2 linked regions of the Xenopus tropicalis genome follow. The protein of the gene in region 2 interacts with the protein of the main gene of each other region in a pairwise test. Links are inferred from orthologs where the notes say so. Each region holds a gene or a part of one and is shown on either strand. Other genes may lie near its edges.

What was found. The genes of interacting proteins can lie anywhere in the genome.
Region 1: the proteins of prkab2 (region 2) and ubxn11 interact in binary tests that used the Homo sapiens proteins (3 or more experiments, as listed by UniProt). The link is inferred for Xenopus tropicalis from reciprocal best matches to the Homo sapiens genes PRKAB2 and UBXN11.

What each region holds. Positions count from the first base shown.
Region 1 is NC_030678.2:77,353,631-77,357,386, reverse strand, and holds the end of ubxn11 (UBX domain-containing protein 11), read left to right. Parts: intron 1-2; coding exon 3-82; intron 83-161; coding exon 162-249; intron 250-1,117; coding exon 1,118-1,335; intron 1,336-1,417; coding exon 1,418-1,495; intron 1,496-1,570; coding exon 1,571-1,685; intron 1,686-1,764; coding exon 1,765-1,868; intron 1,869-1,942; coding exon 1,943-2,010; intron 2,011-2,987; coding exon 2,988-3,113; intron 3,114-3,196; coding exon 3,197-3,353; 3' UTR 3,354-3,534; downstream 3,535-3,756. UniProt on the Homo sapiens protein: May be involved in the reorganization of actin cytoskeleton mediated by RND1, RND2 and RND3. Promotes RHOA activation mediated by GNA12 and GNA13.
Region 2 is NC_030680.2:118,100,628-118,104,283, reverse strand, and holds the end of prkab2 (5'-AMP-activated protein kinase subunit beta-2), read right to left. Parts: intron 3,481-3,656; coding exon 3,412-3,480; intron 2,433-3,411; coding exon 2,355-2,432; 3' UTR 430-2,354; downstream 1-429. UniProt on the Homo sapiens protein: Non-catalytic subunit of AMP-activated protein kinase (AMPK), an energy sensor protein kinase that plays a key role in regulating cellular energy metabolism.

The DNA.
Region 1 (3,756 bases), on a different chromosome or scaffold from region 2:
AGGGAATGCCACAAGTGGAAGGAGAGAACAGGAACTGGAACACCAGTGTAAGGAACTAAATAAAAAAATCTCTGAGATGGAGGTGAGTGTGTATGGTGTGCCATATTTTTTCTAATAGCTATGTAATAAGTGAGACCCAGAAATGTTTTGTTCCTCCCTAGCGTTTCCTTGGTGATTATGGACTGGTCTGGGTTGGGGAAAACAATGCAGATGTCTCACCTGAATCCACTGCCAGAACATGGAGCCCAGGTAATTGTAGATTATAACATTGCCACTGTAAACAATCTCCTTGGAAGCAGCGGTTCATAGCAGGCTATGAGAAGCTTCTATCTGTTATTCGGATATCACTGGAGTATGGAGTAGGGTCAGCCCTGAAAACTTCTGTTTAAACAGTGTAAATTCAGTGTATTAAGGGCTAAACTACATGGGAAGTAGTTTTCTAATGCTACAGTATCATTGATCAGATAAGTAGACAAGCCTGTACTCAGCGTTGCCAGGCAAATAGAACTCCTAATGGTTATTAATGCTAAGGTAATTAGAGCCAGGGACCTTAAATAATGAAGAAGTGAAATGTTTGCATACACCACAATTACTATTTTCTTTAATCCTAGGTTCTAGTATTTGAAATAAATGTCACTAGGCATTAACTTTTCCATATTATTGAAAAACCATGTTATAACACACCGATTGACAATAACTAAAAATATTGCTTCTCTGTATATTTACTAGGGATGCACCAAACCTATATTTCAGTTCCTTGGGTACGAATTTGGCTAAATACCGAACCAAGCCCAGAGCAGAAGCAGAAAATGCAGGGGAAGGCATGCTGCAAATATTTTTCAATACTTAGGGCTCAGATTCAGCTAGGCGGTTGGATTCGGCCATGTCATGCTAAAAATGGCTCCGATTTAGCTGAATCCCAAACTAAATCTGGGATTCGGCCCATCTCTAATATTTTTTACATGCTTTAAGTAGGAGTTCCACCTATTGTCAGGAATCAGTCCCTATAGCTTTAGCACTAGTGGTGTTTTCACTTTACACTTTTATTAAATAAATGGGTAATATGAGACTTTTAAAAATAGTTGTATTTATAGTAATATTTTTTTAATCTCCATAGGACCTTCTTCACCTACTTCTTTCCTACCAGACTTTGATCTAGTCCTGGAAAATTTAAGAGATTTGAATGTACTTGGAGGTGAGGGAGAATCGCATATTGAGTATCAAAAGGGAGGGGCCCGTTTGAGAGCACCCGAGTCTGTCCCATTGACTTTGTATAAAAACGGGATTATTATGTTCCAAGGGCCCTTTCGATCCTACAAGGAAAAATCCACACAGGTGAGGAAAACAGAAACAGTGGTATGTCAGATGGGAAAGAAGTTATTTTCCCTGAAATAATTTGTCCTTCATTGTGTTACAGCTATGTATAAGAGATATCATGGATGGCTATTTTCCCTCTGAACTGCAGGCCCGGTTTCCTAATGGAGTCACATTTCAGGTAAGAGAATTGCTGAAGAATACAGTCTACGCATGTAGGTGAAAAGGACTCTTGAAAAGTATCTTTGCCTTGCAGGTTACAGACAACCGCAATGTAATTTTCCAAGAGCAGCGGCGATGGGATGATTTTCCTGGTTCTGGTCAGACTATTGGGAGCTCAGGAAGTAATTTACAAACTAACAAAAAACCAGGTAAGGGCTCTCTTTAAAAATAAGGCAAGCCCTTAAGGGTTTATAGAACATTTTCATTGTAAATTCTGCCCACCAACAGGACCACAGCTTTCCACTGACCAGTTCTTGAATAGACTGCCTAAATCTGTAATTCGTGGGGGTAGAATTGTGCATGTACGAAGTGCTGTAAGAGAAGCTCTGCAGGTTTGTACATGACCATGGGAACGGAGGGTTTGGTGGAGCATCTTCAGACAGTTAGCTCTTGTTGTTTTTCTAAGGGGTCAGAAGAAAATGAGATGCCAAAAGAAATCTTAGTGGAATCTCCACAGCTATCAAAAGAGCAGAGGTACGGATAGTAAAATGTATTCCATAGGGTTAAAGGGGGGTAGTCATTACATAATATCTTTGCTGTTTTTGTTTTTAATATTTTTTTTATTAAATATAGTGTTTTCCTTTGTCTCATAAATCCAGTTGTCACAGTTATATTTATTCAAAGTCCAGCGTTTTTTATTGATGTCCTTCAGTTAAGCTTTCTTTCTCAAGCCAAGAATAAAACAGCTTTATTATTATTATTATTAATGTATTTTCACAAAAAGGTGTGTTGCTGTACATGGGCCCATAAAAGTTATCCCCATCAGCCCTAAGACTTTGGGTAGCCACATGGGGCTCCATCCTTTCTATAATGGCACAATTGTAAACAATGTAAAGAACACTGTTGGAATGTTGCTTTTGGCGAGTTTTAAAGGAATAGTTTAGTGTAAAAATGAAACTGGGTAAAATAGATAAACTGTGCAAAATAAAATAATAGTTTCAATATAGTTAGTTAGCCAAAGGTGAAATCTATAAAGGCTGGAGTGGGCAGATGTCTAACATAACAGCCAGAACTCTACTTCCTCCTTTACAGCTCTCTAAGCTATTATCAGTCAGTAGCCAATCAGTGATTTTGGGGGGGGGGGGGGGGGGCACATGGGACACAACTATTCAGTTAGTTTGTGAGTGCACAGGTCAGATTCAAAAGCAAACTAACTGAACAGTTATGTCCCATGTGGCCTCCCTAAAGTCACTGACTAACTAAGAGCTGAAAGCAGGAAATAGTGTTCTGGCTATTATGTTAGACATCTGCTCAATCCTGCCATTATAGATTATATTTTTCCATAACTATGTTAATATTATTTTTTATTTTGCGCAGTCTATTTTACCCAGTTTAATTTTTACACTGAACTGTTCCTTTAAGACAGTGTTGCCATCTCTCTCTCTCTCCTGATGTAGGATCACAACTATACAACAAGATTTAAAGAATATAAATATTTGTATTTGTTTTAGCACACAAGACAACATGGTAGTGTCAACTTTAAGGATCAGGTCTGAGTCTGGTGATAAAACATATAAAGTGCGAATGTTGTCTTCAGAAACCCTTGCCGACTTGCGAAATTACTTGTCCTCGTGCCGGTATGTGTTTTTTGTTTTTTTAAAATCCTATAACATATTTAGTCTGTTTATTTCTCATTCCTTATTATATATTTTGTAAGCAGGGCACCTGATCTCTCCTCCTACAACATTATCACCCCTTTCCCTTACTGTGTGTATGAAGATGATACATGTACCTTGGAAGAGGTTGGCCTCGTCCCCAATGCTTTTCTAGTTCTCAGAGCAAGAAGTGAGGAGGAACAAAAAAAGCAATCAGTCTGAGGAAAAAAGAAAGAATTTCATTTATGAATCTAAAGAACAGAAGAAACAAAGGGGCGGTGATCTTTTATCTCTTCCTGATGACTGTTCAACTTGAACTTTACAACATGCACTTTTATATGGTATAATTCTACAACTATACATGACCATAAAGGAACAATAAACTAATACTAACAGTTCTTTATCAGTATGCAGATTAAATTATGTTCTACTGTGAGTAAAACTTGATAGCTGGGAGGCAGATTTTGCCACTGAAAAGTCACCTGTTAGAAAATACATCTGCTAAAGCTATCCCATATAGTTGGGAGGTCATTTTTAACACTATTAACACAAGAAACATTCTTAACACAACAAGAAACATTCCCCTAAGTGTTGTACTCCATACAAATTTGCCATAACATCTTAT
Region 2 (3,656 bases):
AGAGCTAAACTACACAGAAGATTTTGACAATCCTGCAAAGGTTTGTGCTGTTGTGTGGCAAGATTTTGACAATATCTGATCAAAATCTCCTATGTAGTTTAGCCCTAAGGGTAATCGGACACAGGGCTACTCGGTCATTGTGTTTTTTGGAACCTGAAAATGTGGTGCCATAATACTCCAGACAAGCCCCTAAATACTTCAATAGAAATCACCTGACAATTGCTCCTATCAAAGATTGCTGGTAATAGGACCTTGAAGATACTTACATTCAAATCCTGCACTCATCAGTTTTCTACACAATAGGTTTCAGATAGGAACTTGGCCACTGAGCTTTAAATGATCTTGCACAGAGGGTACAAGGTAAGTGATCTACTATTGACCTAGCAAGAAATACACTTACAACAGAAATACAACACAACAGGCAATAAATAAATATACTTGTGGTTTAATATTGCATTGAACAAGTTCACAGTTTTGCTCTCTTTTAACAAATCTACTTCTAAAGTAAAGTGCATACACAGCTAGAGTTCTGAAACATATTCGCACACAAGCCTCTAGTAAAGTGACGTTCTTTGGGAGTACCTTTGTGTACACAGTACCATATCCCAGTCTTCATCTAGCCCTCTAGGGTCTTAAAGGGGAGATGTCTTAGTAATCAACATGCACCCAAAGTGTAATAGATGTTTAATAAATCTGTTTCCTTAATTTTCTGCTAGCTCTCTTTCCTGCTCTGAATATCTATCATTCTGTTTGGCATTTGGCTATTCCAAATAATAATTCTGAGACTCAAAGCAGGAGATAGCTATTAGCAGCAGGAAAAAATGTTAGGGCGGGGAACCTACAAATAAAAAATAATTAAAGATTAAATATCTAAAATATTATAATATAAAATAAATATTTGTGAAGATTATTTAAACAAGGACTTGCTGTATATTTTTTAATCCTAATGACAGTTCCCCTTTAAAACACTAACCTCACAGATAAGTTATTAAAAACATGAATAACTCATTATCTCACCTGGATATATTTATTGTTGGTATTTAAAGGCCCCTAAGGCCTGGAGTTGAACAGGGCAGCAAAAGCAATATCATCTTATTATTCTTTGTTTTTTAATTACAAAATGACTATTCCATATAAATAATCCCCCAGATGTTAAATATACAATAAAACACTTATTAATATGATAAAACAATGAAACAGAATTTTGAACCCTTTCTGGTTACTTGTATCCATTGAACTTACAATTGTAAAAATTTGAGCTCTGTTTTTGGCAGACATATCTAAATACATTATGTGTAAGAGTTTCTTACCCTAATATTTGTCTATGTTAGCTTACCGTCTGCCAGGAGGCACTCGGTAACAATTTTATCAGTAGATAATGGACAAAACAGGGAGTTGTCTCCCATGGTTCCACTTAAATGTGTAAATACCCAATCATTATTTAGAAATTGTTTTACATTGTAACACAATCCAATGGTAACATTAAACCTTACAAAGCAACACCTTCCAACTCTTCTTCATTAAACACTGATTACAAGTTATAAACAACAGCATAACAACGTGCAAAGAGAAATGTAACATGGGATAACAGGACAGAAGGAGCAGGACAAGTGCCACAATGTATACTAATGACACAGGTACAATTTTGTGGCTAAGGGCACTTTTAACACCATGAAATCAAGTGACAGTATTAAGAATGTTAGGTTTATAACCAGCCATTCACAGAACTGTACATGAAAGAACACTGTAGAGGTAAATACATTCTCAGATACAGACACATTTAATTAGGCGCACAACATGCTCATCTGAGTGGTGTTTGTTCTACTTTGCAAAGATACCATAACACTATGTGAGAATTAACACTTTAACTATATAAGAGACGGTTATAGGGCATTTGTAAATGTTACTTGGGGTTTTTATGTATAATTTGGTTCAAGACAGCAATGGAAGGCAACAAAATAATGTGCCATTCACCATTCCAGGACAGGTTTCAGCCAACCTTGCCATCATTTTAATCCTTTATTTAACATACTCATCAGCTTCTAGTTTTGCTAGTTCTAAAAAGTATTTGCATTTAAAGTTAAAGAGTCAGTGGTGCATAATATTGGGTGTTTGCTTATTGCATCACAGGAAGGAGTACAGACTGTGAAAATACCACTTCTTCCTGTTTAAGTCCACCTTATTTAATAAATGGACCATGAACATATAATTTTTAGCAACACTTCCCATGTGCCAACCGTACCAAGTTAGGTTTAGAACAAGTATAAAACACTGGTTCAACCTGCTCATCCATAAGGTATGTATCCGACCAATTTTATGCCACACACATAGATAGACTGACAACTGCGCCTAATCTAAATTGGCTTGTACAGTAAAGTGGTGACATACTTCTTCTTGTAGCGATGAGTCGCACTAAGAACCATTACTCCATCCTGAAAAACAAAAATCGATACATCACAGAAGGTTGGTACATTAAGTGCGTTGTGGGTCCCCAACATTTATAAGGGGAAACTATTCAGTCAGCTTAGCTTGTGATGACTATCAAATATTATTGATCAGTTACAAGATTTAAGATTAGTTTAAGATAAAAACTATAAACTGAAATATAAAAATGTATACTGCATTATTCTTGTACAGTTAACACATCCCCCATTGCATTTAACTAAGTAGTAATTCTATGAATTTGCACTTTCAAGCAATTCTGAGAATTCATGCGCTGGCTTGTAAGGCAAAAAAATCTTCCACCCGCCCGTGTCCACTACTTCCCAGCCACTTATGTTGAATAGGTAAAAGAGCGGCTGGGGAGGGAAGCAGACCCCCTGCGACCGCTGCAATCTGGGCCCCCTGCAACCGCGGGGACTGCTTCCATTATAGTGTCCAGCAGGAGTGGAGTGTGGGACTGTGTCCTGGAAGAGACTGTGCCGGGATTTGGCTTAACCACACAGGTTTTCCAGAGCAGGCTTTATTCATATTTTAGCACTACTTTGACCCACACTCTTTCGTTTATGCAACCAGCATGCATGAAATCCTATTTCTTGTGAGTTACTGTCCCAGTTTTTTTTAATAAAGGAGCAGGTAAATCACATGAAGGGGCATATTTATGAAAGTGTAAAATTAGAGCTCACCACTGTAAAATACTCCACTCTGTTTCTTCATGTGGTATTTTTAGAGGAGTATTTATCAAATGGTACATTCTAACTTTCACCTATTGATAAATACGTCTCTAAAAATCCCAATGGAATGAACAGAGAGTGGGTGAATTTTACTGTGGTAAGGTCTAATCTCACAATATTAGATTGTTAACGATATTCATGATGCTGGCAGCTAAGCTGTATGGTAGTCCTTTATACTTTTCTGCATTACTAGGGTCTGAAATATTTCCTTTAACCCCTTATTAACAGAAAACTTTACCTTTATTGACAAAGCATACAGATGGTTTAGCATGACGTGATTGGGTTCTGGAAGGAGGGCAGGATCACACTAAAATAAACATACATGTGTTAGAGAAGGTTTTAACATAACTTCATATTCAAACTTTTCATGTGTTGCAAGTCATGTCTGTACACTTAAAACACAAAATGTGTTACCAGTAGGAGCAAATGATTGTCCTCTGCTAATACTAAGAAGAATGTTAGGAATTTTAAGTAAAGAGATAA